Linked DNA regions of Arabidopsis thaliana. The protein of the gene in region 1 interacts with the protein of each later gene in a pairwise test. Each region holds a gene or a part of one and is shown in the gene's direction. Other genes may lie near its edges.

Evidence for each region.
Region 2: the proteins of AT2G28315 (region 1) and AT2G01970 interact in a protein complementation assay, tested with the Arabidopsis thaliana proteins (one large-scale study listed by BioGRID).
Region 3: the proteins of AT2G28315 (region 1) and AT3G02420 interact in a protein complementation assay, tested with the Arabidopsis thaliana proteins (one large-scale study listed by BioGRID).

The regions. Positions count from the first base shown.
Region 1 is NC_003071.7:12,085,428-12,092,629, forward strand, and holds AT2G28315 (Nucleotide/sugar transporter family protein), read left to right. Parts: upstream 1-3,239; 5' UTR 3,240-3,468; coding exon 3,469-3,589; intron 3,590-3,705; coding exon 3,706-3,890; intron 3,891-3,970; coding exon 3,971-4,038; intron 4,039-4,126; coding exon 4,127-4,259; intron 4,260-4,342; coding exon 4,343-4,504; intron 4,505-4,698; coding exon 4,699-4,968; coding exon of another isoform or gene 4,969-4,977; exon of another isoform or gene 4,978-5,053; coding exon 5,054-5,143; 3' UTR 5,144-5,338; downstream 5,339-7,202. Other genes in the region: AT2G28310 (trimethylguanosine synthase (DUF707)), read left to right, coding at 346-365, 455-563, 646-738, 848-952, 1,050-1,133, 1,227-1,342, 1,424-1,525, 1,603-1,716 and 4 more. UniProt on the Arabidopsis thaliana protein: Nucleotide-sugar transporter that transports UDP-xylose and UMP in a strict counter-exchange mode.
Region 2 is NC_003071.7:450,282-458,448, reverse strand, and holds AT2G01970 (Endomembrane protein 70 protein family), read left to right. Parts: upstream 1-3,489; 5' UTR 3,490-3,629; coding exon 3,630-3,781; intron 3,782-4,006; coding exon 4,007-4,047; intron 4,048-4,147; coding exon 4,148-4,733; intron 4,734-4,820; coding exon 4,821-4,958; intron 4,959-5,040; coding exon 5,041-5,197; intron 5,198-5,274; coding exon 5,275-5,759; intron 5,760-6,032; coding exon 6,033-6,252; 3' UTR 6,253-6,591; downstream 6,592-8,167. Other genes in the region: SOS1 (sodium proton exchanger, putative (NHX7) (SOS1)), read right to left, coding at 28-145, 235-336, 419-576, 672-749, 830-921, 1,000-1,050, 1,154-1,379; TET14 (tetraspanin14), read right to left, coding at 6,647-6,931, 7,559-8,056.
Region 3 is NC_003074.8:494,308-502,412, reverse strand, and holds AT3G02420 (dihydroflavonol 4-reductase/flavanone protein), read left to right. Parts: upstream 1-3,448; 5' UTR 3,449-3,640; coding exon 3,641-3,817; exon of another isoform or gene 3,818-4,035; intron 4,036-4,179; coding exon 4,180-4,309; intron 4,310-4,394; coding exon 4,395-4,495; intron 4,496-4,795; coding exon 4,796-4,921; intron 4,922-5,014; coding exon 5,015-5,135; intron 5,136-5,219; coding exon 5,220-5,304; intron 5,305-5,413; coding exon 5,414-5,527; intron 5,528-5,659; coding exon 5,660-5,699; intron 5,700-6,081; coding exon 6,082-6,234; 3' UTR 6,235-6,529; downstream 6,530-8,105. Other genes in the region: TBL20 (TRICHOME BIREFRINGENCE-LIKE 20), read left to right, coding at 160-834, 947-1,428, 1,590-1,893; AT3G02430 (transmembrane protein, putative (DUF679)), read right to left, coding at 2,394-3,053; ICME-LIKE2 (alpha/beta-Hydrolases superfamily protein), read left to right, coding at 7,536-7,798, 8,035-8,105.

The DNA.
Region 1 (7,202 bases):
TTTATCACTCTCTGCTCTCACAGATCGGAGAATCTCCTCTGAGAGCTCTAATCTCTCAGCTTTCTTCACCGGCGTCTCCGGATCTAATAATCCTGTAAGGCCTGTAAGTAATCTCATTTTTATTTTCAAGATTTATTTGCGATTTCATCTCTTTTATGCTGAATTTGATTTTCGATGTAGCCTTGTTTTAGCTATCAGTATTACAATTAGTTATCACTGTGATATATATCTTCTCTGAAGTATTATGTTTGCGTTTTGAAGCTACTGCAGAAAAAAGATTGAATTTTTACAATTTGGGGTGACTCAATTTTGTTGACTAGAGTGTTTGGAGATATTTCTAACTAAATGGGAACAATGCACCGCAGGTATAATTTCCTTAACTGATAGATTGTAATACAAAAAAAAGAGTTTTTTTTCCAATATGAAGATTACTACTTAGTGGTTAGTTTTGCAGTGGTGCTCCTCGAAGAACGAATGAAAATGCAAAGGTTATTATTACTACTATTTTGGGGATAGTGTTTGGGACTTTTATTGGTATCACATTACCTTCACTTTCGTTTAAGGTATGAGTTTTGTTTTTCATAGGTCCTTTTATGTGTCCCTTTCATTTTTGCACCTGTTGAATTTTGTTTCGTATTCCTGCAGATTAACTTACCCTCGCGCCTTATATCATCTCTTGATGTAGCCATATCTGGTGACAAATCCCCTGAAGATTTCGGTTCAAGAAAGTTTCCTGAGGTATATAATAAACTTCTTGTTCGGTTCCCTTTCGTTAGCTTTTCGATTATGTTCTAGAATAGTGCCTCATTTCAGATGAAATGTATCGTTTCTGTATGTTTGATTGCAGATATATGTTCCAACTAACCCGCGTGGTGCAGAACTACTACCTCCAGGAATCGTTGTGGCGAAAACTGATTTTTACTTGCGTAGATTATGGGGAGAACCTAATGAAGTATTGACTTCTCATTCTATATTTACTTTCTCAATATATATGGTTTTATCTCTGAAGGCCATTAGAATAGTTAATGTCAAAACAATAACCTTTGCAGGATTTGAAGAAGAAGCCAAAATATCTTGTGACATTTACAGTTGGATTTGAGCAGAGGAACCATATTAATGGAGTTGTTAAGAAGGTTCTGCAATATCAGCATGTGTTTTAGCAAGTATTGTTTTATATATTCTTTGTGGATACACTCAGATTTTTTGTTTTCTTGTCATATCTTCAGTTTTCTGAAGATTTCCAAATTTTGCTCTTCCATTATGATGGCCGGACAACTGAATGGGACCAATTTGAGTGGTCGAAGAGCGCGATTCATATTAGTACAAGAAAGCAAACAAAATGGTTAGTCATCTGGTCATTTACCGGTTATTAAGTATGTTTGTCGAGTATGTTTTTATCGAAATTCTCTACTGGTTTTGGCAGGTGGTACGCGAAGAGGTTTTTGCATCCTGATGTTGTGTCAGCTTATGAGTACATATTTATATGGGATGAAGATCTTGGAGTGGAGCATTTCAATGCGGATAAGTAAGTTATTACTTGTCTGAAGTAGCAGAACAATCTTATATTTTACATTTTGTGATGGAATTCTATTAAAACTTCAGGTACATTGAGTTAGTTAAGAAGCATGGTTTAGAGATTTCTCAACCAGGCTTAGAGCCTAACAATGGACTCACATGGGAAATGACAAAGAGGAGAGGTGACCGGGAAGTCCATAAGTAAGATCTCCTTCTCTAACCATTCTTCTTTGCCTTTCTTTCAAATTTGGTTCTGAATTAAGAAATGTGTTGTTACTTACTGTTGAACAGAGATACAAAAGAGAAACCAGGATGGTGTAAAGACCCACATTTACCTCCATGTGCCGCGTAAGTCTCTCTTTGAAACGTTCTCTTTAGAGCAACTCAAGAGTGTTTAGTCATTGTCAGTACTGAGTTTTCTGAAAAAAATTCCCTCTCACAGGTTTGTTGAAATAATGGCGCCTGTATTTTCTCGAGAAGCATGGCGATGTGTGTGGCATATGATTCAGGTTCGTCGATCTGTAGATACATAGTCCTAGTCTTAGTCCATCAAAATAATGCTTGTTGTTTTGATCAGTTTGTTTATGTTTCTGATGCAGAATGATCTGGTTCATGGATGGGGTCTCGACTTTGCGCTTAGAAGATGCGTTGAAGTAAGTTGTTTTTGCCCCCCCCTTGCTTACCTTAATAACACAATATTCTCTTGACTGATGATGAAAATTTGTGTGTTTTGCTTTTGCAGCCTGCTCATGAGAAGATTGGTGTTGTGGATTCGCAATGGATAATACATAAAGTGATACCTTCACTTGGAAGTCAAGGAAAGTCAGAGAATGGGAAAGCTCCATGGCAAGGAGTGAGAGATAGATGCAAAATGGAATGGACAATGTTTCAGAACCGATTGGCTGATGCTGATAAAGAGTATCTTGGGAAGATGGTGAAAGATTAGATTTGTTTTTCTTTTTTCTTTCTATATAATTAATATATTAAAAAAACTTTTACTTTTGTATATCAAATATTTTACACTAAATTAGGTTTTCATAGGACATGTGTGAAGCCCTTTTTATTGATATTGTGTAAGATTTATACATTTTGATTGAGCTTTATTATGTTGTTTGTTACTTTCTCCATTTCAAATTCTTAGATGTTTTTAAAAAGAAATTGCTTTCACTAAACAAGAGAGAAGTGAAACATGTAAAAAAAAAAAACTTTAGAAAACAAAGGTGTAATAGAAGTGGTTGTTATTACATAATCTTTTTGACTTCTGAAAAGACAATAAGAAAACAAGACTTATAACCAGTTTCATGATTTATCTATTTCACCCAATTTCATAAATTGGCTATTTTATATTTGCTCTCAATAGGTAACGTAAATGGTAGAGAAATTAAGGAGAAGAGAAGGGTATTGGTATGGACTTTGGAGTGAGTGTGAAGCTTTACACCAAATCCAAATAATTTCAATTTTCATTTTAGTTTCTATTTTACAATATTTTGCCCAATAGAAAAAGTATGAGAAATTCAGTTTCACCTTCCTTTTTGCTTTTAGTTCAAGTCAATTGTTTGTCCATAGAAAACCATACAATGTCTCCCTCCATTGGCTGTTTCATTTCAGAGTCTTTTTTATGGTTAAGAATTTGCTATCATATCATTAGTAGAAGTCTCTTATGAGGAAAAACAAATATTAAGCAACATCATTATAGTTTTTCTCATGTATCTTGTGCGTAATTATGTAAATGTCATAATTATTAAAACATGAAATTAGGAAGAACAGAAGTTTGGTGTTAGACACCAACCATTTTTATACAAACAAATAATAAAAATCTCATTATATCACCTTTGCATTTCATCACTCATCACATTCACAATCCTTCTCTTTTTCTCACATCAATATATATCTCTCTTTCTCTCTCTTCATTTGATAGATTTGAAGATTTGAGAGGAGAGAGAGGAAGAAAAAATGGGAGAGATGAAGAGTATGCAAATGGGTGTGATTGGAGCATTGTTTCTATCAGTTGCATCTTCTGTCTCCATTGTCATTTGCAACAAAGCTTTGATGACCAATCTTGGTTTCCCTTTTGGTAATTACTAGTACTTTTTTTTTTTGCTTTGTGAGAATATATTTTGTAAGATCTTTATCAAAAACCCGATTATTCGTCTTAGGATTGATCGCTTTTTTGCTATGGTTTTGTTACAGCAACAACACTTACTAGTTGGCATTTGATGGTAACATATTGCACACTTCATGTGGCATATAAACTAAACTTCTTTGAGAATAAACCAATAGACATGAGAACTGTTGTTCTCTTTGGCCTCCTCAATGGCATTTCCATTGGTCTCCTCAATCTCAGCCTCGGCTTTAATTCCATCGGCTTCTATCAAGTATATATCTTCGACATACTTTTGATCATGTAACAATTATATGATTCACCAATTTGATGTTTGTCCATAACTAATGGCAGATGACCAAACTTGCTATCATACCATTCACTGTTCTTTTAGAAACCCTCTTCCTCAACAAGAAGTTCAGGTGAACCAAACTTGATACATAAGATTATTTTAATTTTTATTGTTTACATAAATAACTTTTTTTTGAATGACATATTTTGGTTTTGCAGCCAGAAGATAAAATTCTCATTGTTTTTGCTGCTAGTTGGGGTTGGTATAGCATCAATCACAGATCTTCAGCTCAATTTTGTTGGCTCTGTTCTATCTCTCCTTGCCATTGCCACAACTTGCGTCGGCCAAATTGTATGCTTTAAGTTTCATTAAACTAATGTTTAATAACTAATACATAGTATAATTAATATGACTATGAAAATGTTGTGGTGAAGCTAACAAACACTATCCAGAAGAGACTGAACGTGACATCAACACAACTCCTATACCAATCAGCCCCGTTCCAAGCTGCTATACTCTTCGTCTCGGGTCCTTTTGTCGACAAATACCTCACTAGCCTCAATGTTTTCTCCTTCCATTACTCTCCCATCGTCGTGGTAATTTTTTACATCGTTAATTCCATTTATTCCCAATTGGTGTTAAAATAGAATTAGAATCATTGTCCTGGATCGGTCCAGCCCATTTTCGCATGGCCCCTTAGAGCCGTGCCCATGTTGAGCCATGATTGTATCATAACGTCCCTAGATAGATACTAAAATTTTGTGAAATTTGACAATGATGAATCATGCAGGGGTTCATAACGTTGTCGTGTTTGATAGCGGTTTCGGTTAACTTCAGTACGTTTTTAGTGATTGGAAAGACATCTCCGGTGACATACCAAGTCTTGGGACATCTCAAAACGTGTTTGGTGCTCGCATTTGGTTACACTCTCCTTCACGATCCCTTCACTCCTCGTAATATCGCAGGAATACTCATCGCTGTCCTCGGGATGCTTCTCTACTCCTACTTCTGCTCAGTTGCTTCTAAATCCAAACAAGCCTCCTCCGATTCCACTTTTCTTGTACGTTAACCACACAAAAAGAAAAGATAGAAATAATGAGTGTTGAAAGTTTCTAAGTACTTTGGTTTTATTCCTTTTTTGACAGGGGAAAGATAGAGATACGACGCCGCTTTTGGGACAAGAAAATGAGAACCATCATGAAGCCAAGAAATTAGACAAGCATTCTCCAGTATGAAATAGTACAATAACTCTTTCTTTATGTTTCGACTCTATAATTGTGTCCCTTTTTTTTGTTCATTCATTGATAATGTTTTTGTAATTGAGAAAAAATTGAAATAGCCAATGGGCATTTTCTCTTCTTTTTTATATTTACATTTCCTATTTCATTTCCTCCTTTTTGGATCTTACAAGGATTATAAAATTATTTTCTCTCGTACGTGTTCTTTGGTTTATGTTAGTGTTCTTCAAATGATCAAATGATTGTTTTCTATTAAGAAGATAAAATAAAATAGTATAGTACTAAATAGTGTTTAAAATACAATTAGTTTCAAAACGGTTTTGGACTTTTCGGTGATTAAAATGTGATAAATTATGAAGTTTTTGAGTTTATGGAAGAAAAATGATGGGCGATTTGACATATGCATATAATTATTATCGGTTTTTAGGATAACAGGAACCAGAAATTTCTAATAATTGAAATGCTTTATGCTCTTATTTTTCCTTTCCATATAAAAAATTTAAATGCAATTTATAACATATATACATATAGATATGTATATTGTTAAATATTACATGTGCGTTACGTCTAACGTTTACGAGAATTCATCCTCTGTTCACATGCTACGTTGTCGTTGTTGTTTTATCTTTCCATGAATAGTATATGTATAACATTTTTATGTTATGGTCTTATGGACCTACAAAGAGAATTGGCAATGAAACTTTCCCTTAAAAGCGAATAATTTTTTTAATTAAAAACTAGTGGTTGTGAGACTTGCAAGTTACGAATGACAAAAAAAAAAAAATAATAATAATAAATGAGAAATGGTCTTCAATCTTCATCAATAGGCCAACTTGTTTGCAACAACCAACAATCCAACTAAAAATCATTTTAAACAAATTATATGATGATGACTTATTCCTACAAATTACTACAGTTTTGGCCTTTTGTCCAACGATGTTGTGATACGTTTCTACATATTTCTCAATCGATCAACGCTAATGCTTATTTTTCAAGATTACTATTTTGTCTCCATGTGTTTTCAGAGACTATGCCTTGTCTTTGTTGGTTGGTTTCACTTTCTTTAGCCATTTTTTTTTTTAAGTCTCCACTCATATTGAATTAGTTAATTTAGGAGTTGGCAAAATAAAGTAAAACTATGGCTTGCATTTTAGTATAAGTAGTTTCTGTATGTGAATGTGATTAAGCTCCCAAGAGTTTTGTCTTACCTCTTGTTGTGATATGTTTATTTTGATTTTCTACCCAATAACATATCTTGTAAAGCGTTTATAACAAAGTAGTGTTTGATGGGTACAAACCACCCAGATGAGCTATATGACTTTTCATTTGTTTGTTTTTGAGCCACTGAGTGACATATAATCTAAAATTGTGCCACTTTCCCATTAAAACCATATGTTTTCAAGCATAATATCTTAATATCAGTATTTTAAAATTAAAAGCAAGATACTATTTTATCCACTTTGGAGAAGATAGATATTTGGAAAATTTGATAAGAATACTAATAAGAGTCTGATGCAATTTGCACATTAACCATTGATAAATAAGACACAACAAGCTCACTTCCGAGAAAAGAGTACAAAAATTAATATTACTCTAGTATAGTTACTTTAATACTTCAATGTTGTATATGATCAATGTACCACGCTAAATCTATTAAATATGTGATTTATACAAAAATTTACATGTGAACTATTTTTTAAAAAACTTTATCTACCCAGAGATTAGTTTTGAACTCCTCCACAGGTGGTGAGGATTTATCTTCAATTAACAGGAAAAAAAAAGTTTATCATCATTCACTCTAATAAATTTATTTCTCCAGTTTTCCATCTTCATTTTTTGAAAGTAATATATATTAAAACTTGTAAATTTTAATTTTATAAAATATTTATATTTTACAGTTTATAATTGTTATTAAGTAACGCTATACCACGAATCCATGAGACAATTGTTAAAATTTTTAAGTTTTAACCCCTATTAAAACAGCATATTAAACATATTTCAAAATTTTATAAATATTGATTCAAATACATCTACCATATAACCCAATTCCAAAATA
Region 2 (8,167 bases), about 12 Mb from region 1:
GAATTCAAGGTCTACAGAAAGACGTACAGTGTAGTATGCGAAATAGCTCACTGCAATTGTAAGAGTAATCTCTATTACAGTGTCATTGAATATGAACTTGAGCCAAATAACTGATGCAATGCCAAACGCCAGACCAATGCCTACACTAAATAGACAGAAGAACACGTTGGACTGATAAGAACACAGCAGCAACTTGATATCACTAACAACAGATGAAAAAAGATCAAGACATACGCTCCAAGTGCGACTTTAAGCAGAAATTTGATTATAGAACTCCAGTCAGAGTTTTGCCCCATAGCCATCTTTAAGAATAACTGGAAAACAACAATCGCCGTCCTGGAATTGTTGTTAAAAATCATGAAGAGTGAGCATAAATGTCAAAACTAACCAAACCATGACAGAAGATAACGTCATTTACCCATCATTCATCAGGGATTCCCCTTCAATTATGGTGCTTAGCTTCTTACTAGCACCAAGCTCCTTTAGCAAAGCAACAACAGCAACCGGATCAGTAGCACTTAAAAGTCCCCCAAGCAACAAGGACGTTTTCCAGTCCCATTCATACGGAAACGTGACCTGCATATAGCAAGTATAGTTTCATAACATAATAATCGATTTGTCTTTCTTTGTTTTCAGGACAGCTACTTAATACCAACCAGGCTAATTCATACCTTCACAAGCGATCCAAGACAAGCTGTTGAAATAAGAACTCCAGGGACAGCAAGTAACACCATTTGTCCCAGACACCTCTAAAGAATCATGCAAGTATTCAGTACCTATTTCTCTTAACCTTTAAGCTTAACTAGGAATTAGAGCCAGAGGAATAAACCTTAATTTGGTGAACTTCCATTGAAAACGAACTCTCGAAAAGAAGAGCCGGAAGAAAAACAGCTAAAAGAAGTTCTGGATCGATCTCATTCCCTGCACAATAACATTGATTCTATAGTTCTTACAAAGCCAGCCATGGAAGAGAAGAAAAATTCGAAACTAAAAACTTACAGATACGAATTCCATGGCCGATCTTTCCAAGGTTATGTTTAGCTCCATATTCTGAAACACCAAACAACATGAATTAGCAATTAAGCATGATTACGTTGACTTCAAGGATTAAAACAGATGAAGAAATCAGAAATTCCATGGAACGAAATCGAACCGAGAGATCCAAGAGCAATTCCGATAACGAGAAGAGCGACAGTGTAAGGAACCCTAGTTCCACGAAGCAAGTGCCTAGAAGCAATACCGAGTACCAGAGACATTCCGACGAAGAGAACGGCGTCGACAGGGCTAGATTCTAGTTTGGAAGAAGAAGAAGAAGAAGACGAATCGGTCGCTTCCTCCAGAAATCTATACGCCATCGTCGCGTCGATTACAGTCGTCATTTTATTTGAATATATCTAAGAAGCAACAACACAGAGGAAGAAGAAGAATGCTCGTTCACTGAAAAAATAAATAGCTGAAAGAGAGTAAATACTTATAGAGCTATACATACACACGTGTATAGTACTGTAGTGTTAAATTAAAATTAAATTTTACTATTAATTTTGTTTATGATAACATTATCATATTTTTCTGCTATATATTTTTCACAATTTTCAGCCGACCAATTCTTCAATGTTTATATTTTTTCTGACCAAGAGTATATTAGAACCAGAATTAGATAAATTAATGGAAATATAATGATGACAAAAAAATAATATAAATATAATATATAGTTTGTTTTGGATTTTATAGATTGATGTCATATAGATGTGAATGTGACTATGGTATCTTCACAATGAAATTAGTGCTTAATTTGTGTACAAGAATTTATTGAAATTGAGTTTATTTGTAATAAGTATTCCAAAACCTGGTTTGGCCTTAAAAGGAAAAGAAATATTCGTAGTTGGTTTTTTGACATTTTGGGACATATTTTTCTTATGATTTAATTGATAAGACCTCTTACTGTTGTACTTTTTTGAATAAACAATTGCAAATGTAAATTGGCTATTTTAGAATTAGACGACTAGCCTACCAAAAATACATTTATAATGTGGATTTTGATATGTGTGTGAGTGTGTTTACTTCGTGGAGTTTGATGTGTTTAAGGTTTCGAAAATATTTGAGAATTTGGATTAGCCTGACTCTATTCGGCTGATCCAAAACATTAATCTGATACCTTTCAATTCTTCACGTTAAATTTATAATATTTTTTAAACTTTCAATTATGCTTAGCTGATGCACAACAACATTTTCAATTTCGCATATCAGAATAACACCAATTATCATTTTCATGCTACCCAGAAGCACCTACAAGGTATCAAGTGTGCATGTTAAAAGACTGTTTGGGTTAGTATTGATTAATCGACCAACCGTCGATCCTAATGAAATGCTCAAAGATAGAATCCAACATAAAGAATCTCTATTGGTATTCAAGATTTGCTTATAGAGTAGTGATTGTTAGTTAGTTAGTTTGTTATTCTTTGATTTTCCAATCAGCTTACGAAGATTTTTCAAGAGTAGAGATGCTAACAACATGCATAATAATTTGTCTAATGGTAAATTCTACAATAGGAAAAGAGTTTACATTGATTACTCTATCATTAGTAGTTCAGGGGATAGTAGATGTTTGTTTTGTTCTAAGGCTTATGTTTATGCTCTGGAAAACTGGTTCCAGGCGAGAAGATTCAGAGAGAACTCGTTGATGGATTACATATCATGGTCGCTGATGAGTGTATGATTCGCCACCACCATCAAAGAAGGTGCAAAATCAATAAGTATCAGAGCTGTTACAAAAATAAACTTTATAAATAAATAAAATTATTGTCTGTGTAATTAACATCTTAATTTTATAGTGTTCTTATTTATCTGGTTTGGTTGCAAAAAATTGAGTTTAGTTAAGATAATCAGGTATATAAATTACTACATCATTCATTTTATGTACAAAAAATTTGGTTTATATTCCAATTGATAATACTTTTTACTTGCTTTGCTTTAATCAATTTCATAAACGAGATACTATTGTGAAAAAAAAAAACGAGGCACTATTGATCTTTTTTCTTTTGACCACCTTTTTATTTGTATCTTCATCATCATGATTTTGTTAAAGAGTAAAAAGAACATTACTGATTGTTATAGTCACATGGAATGCAATAAAACTCCTATAAATAGTAGAAAGCACAAGAACGAGAGAATCACTCTACCAATAGAAAATTGCTACTTATTAAAAAAAAAACGACAATTGTAACAAAAAATATCGATTATAGAAAGTTTTATTTGCTTCAGTTTATATCACTTGCCTCTGCCATTCACAAGTTTCTTACGAAACGTATTAAATAATTTAAAATTTTGTGAATTAATACGAATTTTGTTTAGAAGATTTAAGAAAACAACCAAAAATAAAATATATAAAAATAATCATTTCAATTTCTAAAAAAAATATTAAAATGTCGCAGATTTTATTTTCTTACATAATGCTTTTTATTCGCAATATTTTTTCTTAAGCATTTAGTAGAAGAAAATTCGTTAAAAAGAGAGATAAAATAAATAAAAGTAATATAATCGTCCTTTTGCCATAAGCGTTGCTCTCAAAAATATAAAGCAAACTCAGATCTCACGATTTTCTTCTTCCTCTCACATTAACACACATCATCATGAGATTACCAACGACGCTGCTCCTCTTTATCGGAGCTCTCATCTTCTCCGGCGCCGGTACTGTCAGATCCGATGCCTCCGACCACCGTTACAAGGACGGTGACTCCGTTCCTCTCTACGCCAACAAGGTCGGCCCCTTTCACAATCCCAGGTAAATCCAATTCTCTAATCTCAGTTCCTTTGTCGGTAGCTTAGATCTGTGATTCTCTTTGATGAGTGATAAATTGATCGTTGCAAATTTCTGTAGAAGCTTGCGTTGGTATTGAATTTTTGTATCTGACCTTGAAAAAATTCGATTCGTGTTCTTAAAATGTGATAGATCTTCGATTGCATTGTTATATGACTGATTTTTACTTGTGTTTGATGATTGTTGCAGTGAGACGTATCGCTATTTCGATCTCCCCTTTTGTATTCCAGGTACGAGCACGCTCAATGTTGTCTCTGTTATGTGTGGTTTTTCACTTTTTTCGGATTTGTGTATTTTGGTGTCAATATGCATTTGTTTTGGTTTGTGTAGAGGGTGTGAAAGATAAGAAGGAAGCTCTTGGTGAGGTTTTGAATGGGGATAGGCTTGTTAGTGCTCCATACAAGCTTAACTTTAGAGATGAGAAAGACTCAGAGGTGTACTGTAAAAAGAAGCTTAGTAGAGAAGAAGTTGAACACTTTCGAAGAGCTGTTGAAAAAGATTATTACTTTCAGATGTATTATGATGATTTGCCTATTTGGGGATTCATTGGGAAGGTGGACAAAGAGAGCAAATCTGATCCTAGCGAGTTTAAATATTTTCTCTACAAACACATCCAGTTTGAGATTTTGTACAATAAGGATCGGGTGATTGAAATCAATGCTAGAATGGATCCTCATTCGCTTGTGGATCTTACTGAGGATAAGGAAGTCGATGCTGAGTTTATGTACACTGTGAAGTGGAAGGAAACTGAGACTTCTTTTGAGAAAAGAATGGATAAGTATGCTATGTCTTCTTCTCTTCCACATCACTTGGAAATCCACTGGTTCTCCATTATTAACTCCTGCGTCACTGTCCTTCTTTTGACTGGTTTCCTTGCAACCATCCTGATGCGGGTCCTCAAGAATGATTTCATGAAGTAAGTTTTGAATGCTAACTCTTTGTGCTTGACTCACCGATGCACACTTTTGTTTCCAACCATTAACTTTTCCCCTAACTTTCAAAGGTATGCTCAAGATGAGGAAGCTGCTGATGATCAAGAGGAAACCGGATGGAAATACATTCATGGAGATGTCTTCCGGTTCCCAAAGAACAAATCTCTCTTTGCTGCATCTCTTGGTAGCGGTACCCAGTTGTTCACTCTGTAAGTCTCTTTTCAGCCTCCTTCGTTTATCTTTAGTTATTCTTTGCCATTACTAACTGTAATATACCTCATATGTCATCAGGACCATCTTCATTTTCATGCTTTCACTTGTTGGAGTGTTCTATCCATACAACCGTGGAGCACTCTTCACTGCTTTGGTCGTTATCTATGCTCTCACATCTGGAATTGCCGGATACACTGCCTCCTCTTTCTACTGTCAACTCGAAGGAAAGAATTGGGTATGTAAACCCTTTCCCTTTACTCTTTTCAACTTAAAGTGATAAGCTTTTCATTTCTCACCGTTCTTCCTCTTCAGGTGAGAAATTTGCTGCTAACTGGAGGTCTCTTCTGTGGCCCACTATTTCTCACCTTCTGCTTCCTAAACACCGTTGCAATCGCATACAGTGCAACTGCCGCTCTTCCCTTTGGAACCATCATAGTGATCGTCCTCATATGGACACTAGTCACTTCGCCTTTACTTGTGTTGGGTGGTATTGCCGGTAAAAACAGCAAAGCTGAGTTCCAAGCTCCAGTCCGCACCACTAAGTATCCTCGGGAGATCCCGCCACTCCCATGGTACAGGAGTGCTGTACCGCAGATGGCCATGGCTGGATTTCTTCCTTTCAGTGCCATCTACATCGAGCTATATTACATCTTTGCCAGTGTTTGGGGCCATCGTATCTATACCATTTACAGCATCCTCTTCATCGTCTTCATCATCCTGTTGATCGTCACTGCTTTTATAACAGTTGCCCTTACTTACTTCCAACTCGCTGCTGAAGATCATGAATGGTGGTGGAGGTAAATTTTTCCACCCAAGCTGGTTTTTTAATTCGGTTTTTGGTATATGGAATATAGAAAACCAAATGATAATACCAAATACAAATAGCTTAGAATTGCTATGGTTTGTGTTTCGTTTTAGTATCAGTTTCAAACTGATTACTTACGTAGGGTTTCAGTTTGGCTTGATTAGGCACATCTACTAAATCCTTCCGTAGATTTTAAATTCGAATTTGAATTGGATTGGTGATAATAAAATTACATTGTTATAGTTATTAATATTCTTTGTTGCAGATCATTCCTATGTGGTGGATCGACTGGTCTGTTTATATATGCGTACTGCTTATACTACTACTACGCAAGATCAGACATGTCTGGTTTCATGCAAACATCCTTCTTCTTCGGGTACATGGCTTGCATTTGTTACGGTTTCTTCCTCATGCTTGGAACCGTTGGCTTCCGCGCTGCTCTCCTCTTCGTCCGCCACATTTACCGGTCGATTAAATGCGAGTAAAACTGTTGCTGCCAATCACCCTCCCCCTTACGATTTTTGGTAGAACAAAGAAGATGATAATCTGTTCTTAGGTAGATAAAGAAGAAGACTTCTTCGAAGCCAGAAACTGAATACCAAATCGCTCTGTGGTCACATTTTTTTTCCTTTTTGTTAAAATGTTTTGTGGCAGTTTGTTTTCTGTGATATGATTTATAGACGAAACTATGTTTGTTTAGGTGAAGTCTTTCTCTTCTCTACTACTTTAGAGAGTTATCTTCTTTTTTTGGTAATTAATTAAGATAACTTTGTAACCTTTTTTTTATTGATCTATATATATTCTAAAGACGAAAAAATAACAACTCTCTTGAACCAAATCGCTAATCTATTCGATCAAAATCATCTATGAATTTGTGATCTATCTAAACAAAGAGGTGAGGGAAGATAAGAAAACACCGAACTGCCACCATTTGCGCAGCCTTGGAGACTTAATGATCCTAACCTGACAAGTCATACAATCATAGTACAACACACTTAACTCGTGTCTCCACATATCGTAATAATCCTTTATGTCTGCATTGCCACCGTAACGATCATAGATCATTGCCGTTTCCAAAGGTGGTCCTTCACGATTTCTTGTAACCCACAATGTTGCATTGACCGTCTCTAGTTTGCAATTCCCTGGCCGATTGCAGCATCCAGTCTAACACAACAAACAACAAGAACAAAAGATTATGACTTTTTTAAAAATATATCAAGAAAAGATTTTCTCTTTCGTCATATCTTATTAGGATTTAGTGGTATTAAATCTTGCATATCACGGCTTCAAATATTTAAAACAAATTAATATATGTACTTTAAATAAACTAATTTTTCAAAATCTTAATTGGATAAATAAAAAGATTTTTTTGGAACAAAAACCAACAATACTTTTAAAAACTACTACGGGTGTATTCAAATTAGAATTTAAAGTGATTTGAATTTTGTTGAGTTTTTAAATGATTTTGATAATTTTAGGGAAGTCTATATAATTTTTGTAAAATCCATTCAAATCTCACCTTAAACCATATGATTTGGATTTCTATATTTTTAACTAAAGAAATCCTCTCGAATCCTCCAAAATTATTAAAATTCAAATCCACAAATTGTTTACAATAACAACGATATAAAAATCAAACTAAAATACTAAAAAAAAAAATAGGCATATCTAAATAAAATCTAAATCCCAACCAAAATTGTAACAAGTTGATACCTATATTAGATTTGATATATATCTAAGTAATAAATAATAATTATTCTAAAAAAAAAAGAGTAATTGATTCGTAAGTACCTTAACAGATGGTAACAATCTTCTATCATACGGTGGCAAGGCATAGCTGTTGACAAACCGCAAGTGAACTCTTTGCAAGCGTCCTTGACTTTGTTCTATCTTAACCACTTGATATTGTTCTGTTTTACGTTCTCCTTGTCCATTATTATATTCTCCCTTGAAACACATTGGTGTCGGAGAAAACCGCCGGCTTTCCATCTTGTACACACCGGAGTAAGCAAAACCTATGAAGAAGACAATAACTAGGAAGTAGCTGAGCCGTCGTGGTCGGAGAAACATACCGATGTTGCTAAGGAGGAACAAGGCGAGGAGAGAGACGCTGACGAGTGTTTGTACACGTGGTAACGTACTTTGGAAGTCGCGGTAGTAAACGTGGTCGTTACGCATGCAGAAGAGATACAAGGCGTGGCCGACAAGAGGAGCCGAGAGGAAGAAAGTGATGATCGGAAAGAAGATTCCGGCGACTAGATTCCATGGCTTATGGCTTTGTGACTTCATTATTGGAGAGCTTCAAGGACAGATTTGATTTTCGTATGATCAAATCTCCTATACGAGTATTTATCCCCACAAAAATATCCTTTTGTAGGAGTTACTTACGCAATCAAGTGT
Region 3 (8,105 bases), on another chromosome or scaffold:
ATATATCAAACGACTCATTCGTTTTTTTTTTTTAGCAATGTCCCAATCAATTGGTAACCTTGTTTGATGCTAATCCAATAATCGAAATTCTTCCAAACATCTCTCTCATCCATTGAACATAAAACAGAAATCCCAAAACTATTCTTTTTCTGTTTTTAAATGATACTTTCTCGGAAGAAGGAGATGGAACTTCCTGCGACAAAGTTACGAATAGGACTAGTGATATTTCCTCTTATTCTACTTACGATAGCTCCAATCCTTTATCTCTTTTTTGGTTATCCTCTCTATTATTCAACATCAACATACAAACATTTATCGAATTCATCATCGTCGTCGGCAATATCTTCTCCATCTAGGTATAACCATTCATCATCATCATCAGATAGTTATAAGACAGAAGATTCAGAACCATCGTCGTATGATAATGATTACGACGACACATATCATGATCCCAAGTCATCATCTTTGCATAACAATGATCGTCTATCCATCTCATCATCGAATGGTCATCATCAAGTAACTCCTAAGAAAGAGCACCGCCGGAAAAAGAGAAAACGTAAATGCGATATATTCTCCGGCGAGTGGATCCCAAACCCTAAAGCCCCGTACTACACAAACACGACATGCAGGGCGATACACGAACACCAAAACTGCATCAAGTATGGAAGACCTGATTTAGGTTTCATGAAATGGAGATGGAAACCTAAAGAATGTGATCTCCCTCTGTTTGATCCTTACGAGTTTCTGGAAATAGTTAGAGGAACAAGAATGGCGTTCGTTGGTGACTCCGTTAGCAGAAACCACGTTCAGTCTTTGATCTGCCTACTCTCTCGGGTACCAATTCTCTCAATGCTTATCCAACTTTTTTATTTATTTTATGACAATACTTACTCGTTTAATACATTACTTGATGCAAAAGTAACCTTGGTTTAGATATTAATTTCAGGTGGAACATCCTGAGGGTGACTCACAACAGGAGTTTAATTTCCAACGATGGAAATACAAAACGTACAACTTCACGATCGCCACATTTTGGACAACACATTTGGTTCGCGCTGAAGAAACGGAAACCGGTCCGACAGGTCCTAATTCATTCTACAATCTCTACCTCGACGAACCTGACCCTACTTGGGCTTCCCAAATCGGTGAGTTCGATTACATAATCATCTCATCTGGACAATGGTTTTTCCGACCACTCTTCCTTTTCGACAAACAAAAAAGGATAGGATGTTTGTATTGCTACATTCCCGGAGTCAGAAATGTCGGGGCACATTTCGCGTATAGAAGAGCATTGAGAACAACATTCAAGACAATTCTTGGATTAGAGAATTTTAAAGGAGAAGTGTTTCTGAGGACATTTGCTCCTTCACATTTCGAAGGTGGAGAATGGGACAAAGGTGGAAATTGCTTGAAAACGCGACCATATAGGTATACATTGTTCATCCGACATTTTCTAAAATATTAGTTTCTTCTAGAATACTTTAATATTATGAGTTTTGTGTTTTTTTTGTTGTTGTTTGAGTTTTCATTCGTCACATCCTAATAGAAACGTCTATATATTCCTTTGGGTTTCTTTTGTGTTTATATAGGAGCAATGAGACAGAGTTAGATGGTATGAATCTAGAGACACACAGCATTCAACTCGATGAATTTCGCATTGCAAACAGAGACAAAAACAGAAATGACGGATTAAATTTGAGATTACTAGATGTCACACAGATGATGTTGTTAAGACCAGATGGACATCCGAGCAGATTCGGACATAAACGAGAAGATAAAGTTATCTTGTATAATGATTGTGTACATTGGTGTTTGCCAGGTCCAATTGATTCATGGAACGATTTTTTACTAGACATGTTGAAAAATAGAGATTTAAAGAGATTAAAATACTAGTACGTAGAATCTAAATTTTCTCAGTTAAACCCTTTTTGTTCATTTGTAATTATATACGAGTATGTTTGGTTACGATGTGGTATTTAGAAAGATCTCTTCCCTTTTTGGCACGGTTTTCATAATCAGATATAAGCTTTTAAGTAATTTCAGATCTTAATTAACACATTGAATATTTAATGATATGGATCTAATATAAGTTTATGGTACAAATGAAGTAAAATAGTCAACGTTTTCCAAGTAACATGTCAACCGTACATACATTAATGTATTTTACATCAAAAAGTCCATGCAATGATTTTAGAATTCAAATAAATAAAGTCTATTTGAATTAGGAAAATTATATATATTTGACACAAAATTAAAATTTATTAGTTTAATAAAAAGAATAATGGTCATAACGTATATATACAAATTATACAACTTTACAAACAAGAAAACAAACGAAAATAGTCAACCCACCATGCAAACGCTACCGTTTCTAAATTGGTTTTAATTATAAATCATCGGCGATCTACGCTACCGGTAACAAGATATCCAATTCCGTGGCGTCTCGCCGGAAAAACCATAAACAAAAGGCTACACATAACCCCAACACCCACCGGAACAATGTCCAAGACATGTTTCGTCTCTGCCTCCGGCGACGGATAAAAGCAATCAGTTATATACTTGTCTCTCAACGCAACCGCTCCAAACACTAAAACCGACAACGTAGCGTGGATCCAATCAACGAACCGCATCCGATATTTGGCTAAATCGGGTAAACCTAACCCGGACGGGTCAGGATAGTCAACGACCCACATGCCTTTGAACGTTACGAAACCGAAGTAGATAGTTCCATCGTCGGCTTTAACGCTATCGGTAAAGGAGCTGACGAAGCAAGACGCGGCTAAGAGGAAAAGGAGAACGGCGGTTAGGAAACGCGTTGCGTGGTCGCAAACGCCGTTTGAAGTGAAAACCGGCGTTAGGAGTTGAAACGCGAGGAGTGTTCCCGTTGGGAGTAGGTTTGAGAGATTGGCTGCTGACGTCAGGGTGTTTGACATGGCTCGCTGAGACATTGACATCTGTCTCTTGAGCACCCGGGATTCTGACGGTGTCTGATCGGATAACTCGTCGAGCTCCGGAGCCGGAGTGTTTGCGTTTCTTAGCCGAAGGGCAGACATCTTTTTAGTTTTGATTCTTTTCAGGTTTCGATCGTTGGATTGATATTGGTGAAGATAATGATGATGATGTTTTTTTATAGATGCTACGATATAGAAACAGCTAATGATAACTTAGTTTACGCATAGTGGACTGTCTGTATTTAAGTAATCTCTCTGTTCAGTTAACTTGTACGATAAACAACATTATACACGACAAATAATACAAGACTTTTTAAAGCTTTTAACAAGATAGAACATAATGCTGAAAACAGTGATTGAGCTAGATATAACTGTGTCATATTCTGCTTGTTCTTCGCACGCTAGTCCTTCTCTGTTCTCACGATTTAGGGTTTCTTTCCCAATGCTCTGTTTTGTTCATTTTCTTTCTTTGGATAAATTGCATACAAACCCTCAAAGTTTCCAGTCTTTTGCAAAGTTGTAGTTATTTTTATATTAAATATCATAAACAACTGATTGCCAAAACGTCGTCGCTCTTGCAAAAGTCCACAGATACTAGTAGTAAGTAAAGTATAGGAAAAGTGGACCAAAGAAACAAAACCCATACAAAAAAAGTCGAATCCAAATCTCTCTCTCCGGCGATCTCATCCATGGCGGAAGGCGGCGAAGATTCCCAGCGGTTGAAGAAAATTGCGGCGGCTGCCTTCGACTACGAAAACGACGCTCGATGGGCCGATTACTGGTCCAATATCCTCATCCCTCCTCACATGGCTTCTCGTCCCGAGGTCGTCGACCATTTCAAGCGCAAATTCTACCAACGCTACATCGTACTTACTACTATCTTCCCTACTCTTGAATTTGCTTATCCATTTTCTTCATTACTTTGAGTTTCGAGTTTGACTTTGTGTTGTGTGCGCTACTGATTTGGGGATTTAGTGTGGACTTTGAATCTTAGGTTTTACAAGTGTGGTTGTTGATGTTCTTTCTGCTAAATTGCTTAGTCCTTGGGTCCGAATCTCCTCGTGATTAGGTTATTAAGCGGAGGGTAGGGCTTTTCATTGAATATTCGTTAGGTCCTGTTTATAATATGTGAAGCCTTCGTGTTGTTCATCTTTGCTCTTCCCTATGAAGATGTAATCTGGATTTGTTTCTAAATCTAGGGTGCTTGCCATGTCCTTCTTTTTTGCAGGATCCTGATCTTGTTGTGGAGCCTATGTCGACTTCATCTTCGTCTTCACAATCTGCCAGGCCAACTGCTACATCTGCATCTTCAACTGCATCTTCTAATGCAAATGAACAAGTTCGTTCACGGAACTCAGGTCAACTTTCTTTGTCTGATATATTCTTGAACTCAAATGAGCTTTTCTTATTACTACCAAAAACTTACCTAATTGTGTGCCTCAGGATCGGTTCCTCGAACCTCTGGGCCATCTGCTACGACTGGTGCAACCCCAAGTTCAATGCGCTGGGATGAGCAGACGATTCAGTTTTCAGTCAATGCTTGGGTAAGATAAAGTTTTTCAGTTGCAGTTTCTTCCTCTTATTGCACAAGTTTAATAAAAAGATCTAGCTCTTGTTAGCCCTGTGAGTTGGGATTGTTGTTGCAATCTGCTGTTCACTCCTTAACTTCACGGACAGTAATGAGATGGTGCATAGTGTATTGTCTGTCTTTATGTTCTCCTGTCTTGCTGAATCTTTGTTGTGTACTTAGACATGAACTAGATGTGACAAATGCTTTTTTGTCTGGAATGCTTCACGTAACTTATCTCCCGTTTCATGTCTCTAAATCCATTACATTTTTGCAGGTTTTTGTTATAGCTGTGCTGGCAGTGCTACCTCTAATACCAAAGAACCTCTCAAATAGGGCTTATCGTCTATCTTTCATGGGAACTGCATGCTCATCTCTATATTCCTTATACTCCTTATACGGGGTACGCCATGTGAATTTCATGTTTTCTTTCTCTCTAGTGATCATGCAATGCGAAATTTTTGTTACTTATGAATTGTAATTTTATAATCTGCAGAGGCCAAGGGCATGGAATATGCAAGGGCTGCAAGTTTATTTTCAATCAATTGTGGCAGCAAAGGATTTCATCTACTTCATCTACTGCCTTACATTCGTCACTTCACATCTCTGTCTCAAGTGTAAGAATTTATTGAAAACTCTTTTGTGAATGTCTTCAAATCACGTACATTCTTATGACTAGTCTCATTATCAATCTGTTGCAGTTGCTTTGATTCCCATCTTGTGCCGGGCACTTGAACAAGTAGCCAAGTTCTTGAGGCGTAACTTTGGTCGGTCCACTATATACAGGTAGGTGCATCGAGCTGATTAGCAGGTTTGAATGTAGTAGTAGGTTCCATGTGTGGATTCTTACTGATGCTTATGTTGTACATGTGTCTTGTTCTGTAATGGTTATCAGAAAGTACTTGGAAGACCCTTGTGTGTGGGTGGAGTCAAACACTACTACCCTCAACATCTTGTCATCGCAGGCTGAGATAGCCATTGGCTTCCTTCTGATTATCTCTCTGCTCTCGTAAGCTCTTTGAACCTGTTAGAAGCGATAATAGTTTATTTTCGCACTTAAGTTTATATTCTCACTAAGTTCCCAGCTTTGCATTAGCTGGTTTCACTTATCTGAACAAAATTGTCATTTTACTTACTGCAGATGGCAACGTAACATTATACAGACGTTCATGTACTGGCAGGTACGTATCATCTTTTGGTTGTAGTCATCAGTTCTTTGTGATGGCTCAACATTCCCAAGTAGAACCCCTGTTTTCTTTGTTTAATTTGATCCAAGTGAACATATAGGAAGAATCATTTCCGTAATAACACCTTTTTTGTTGCTTTGATGATCTTCTGTCACTGAAAGTGTTACATGGGCTAAGACCATCAGGATAGTAATGAGAACTGTGTTTTGTTTTTTTTTGGTTAAAAATCTTGTGTTCTTGTTATAAAATCTGTCAAGTTCAAAAACCTTTTCCTCATATTCTTCCTAAAACAAAGATCTACTAGGTTGTTTGCAGGATTGTTGGTTGGATCTTGAGAGTTGTTCTCATGAACTGAGTTTTGTTATTTTGGTGGCAGCTATTGAAGCTGATGTATCAAGCACCGGTAACAGCTGGTTACCACCAGAGCACGTGGAGCAGAATAGGGAGGACGGTGACTCCGATTATCCAACGTTACGCTCCTTTCTTGAATACTCCGGTCAGTGCCGTTCAGAGATGGTGGTTCAGGTGATAAAAAGAAACAAAATGCAGAGGTGACTTTTGAAACCCTTTTGAAAAACCAGAAGATTGATTAAATAGCTTTCAACAATCCATGTTAATTTCATATTCAGCGTAAAGTAGATTCTTCTTCTCTTTTAACGTTTTCCTTTGGCTATCGCTGAAATAAAAATCTCTTATTACTTTTGGTTTCTAGTTTAGTTATATGTGACTAATTGCCTTTCCAGTTTCCACCTTGCCATTTTCATTGGTGAGATACTTCAAAAGTTTCTAAAAAAATAATAATAATAATATTTTATTATGATTTAGTTTCTGTCCAATTATAAACACATACATATACATATAGTCTCTCAATCATTACTCTAAAATTTCTCTGCATAAAAACAATTCTCAATCTCTCTCTTATCTCTCTCATACTTTATTATTATTTTATATTTTTTAGTCAATAAAAAATTATGTGAGAAATTACCGATGAAAATGTTCTAAATTTTATAATATCTGATTCCATGAGTGATTGTAGAACTTTTGCTCAAAAATAAAAATCATCTAAAATATCATCTGGCCCTAGAAAATCGGTTTCATTGTGTAAAATTATTATATATTGAAAGGGTGATTATTTAAAGAAATTATAGTTGATTGGTTGTGAGTCGTTTACACATGTGGATGAGTGTTTTTGTTCGAAAAAAGGAAATCTAAAATAATGTACATTGGGGGGGGGAGAGGAGTATTATTTAGATAAACCAAATTTGGGAATAAGGTATCTTAATCATTGATTCATATTCCCTTCATTGGTGCGCGTGCCACCGCTTAAATCACCGAACACGTTCCCAAAGTCTAGTACCAGCAAGCAATACCACGTGGCGTCTATGCACAACTATACGAAATACGAGTGTCGAGACATCAAACCACCAATAGCGTATTGTGTTCGAACGCAATTCTAATCACAATTTAATATATGGAGCGGGACCCTTTAAACTGCTGTTTAATACACAAAATAAGAAAAAGAACTCTTCAAAGTACGTAATCACTACTAGATTAAAGAAACCAAATCAGAATACTGTAACTTATTCACATTAATAATACTCATTAGGAAGGAAAAAAATTGGTAGAGAAGAGGACCGGAATACGACGTCGTTTTGACATTCCTCTGTGAAAAAGAGAGAGAGCCGCACATGAGTGAAAGCTTTTCAAATATTTGAAAATTGAAACAAAAAAAACAAGAACCGATCAATTATAAAAGCACAAGACACGAATAGGAGGAGGAGGATACAAAATTCGAGATCCAATCTTTCTCCGACTACTTTCACGGCGGAGATGCAGTTGTCTCCGGAACGATGCCGTCCGATGTCTGAAAACAGAGAGGCTTGGTCAGCGAATTCCGAGGAAATGGAGCTGCTTCACGGCTCCAACAGATTATCTTCACCGGAACATGTTCGTAGAAGAGTCTCCGGGAATTCTTCTGAGGACGGTTCGCCTCGAATTTGCCGGCAGCAGTCGTTCGGTCGCGACATAGGCCATGCAGCTGCCGAGACGTATCTCATTACTCGACTTAGCTTCAACCTTCTTGGATATCTCGGGTAAATTTCATTCCTCTCATGGCATCGTTTATTTGTTTTTAGCCGAGACGTATCTCATGTCCTGTTTCTAGAGCTCACAATTAGTCTTCTCGATGAATTATTCTTACCACAGTTTTATGATAACTAAATGAGTTTTCCGGTAATTAATAATCTTAGGACATGTGATGATGTTTCAATTTTTTTGTCGGAATCTCTGTAAGGAAAGTTTTGTTTTATTGTTGTAAGTTTTTGTTCAGGGTAGGTTACCGGTGGATCACAAGATTACTTGCTCTTGCTTGTTATGCAATGCTCCTTATGCCTGGTTTCC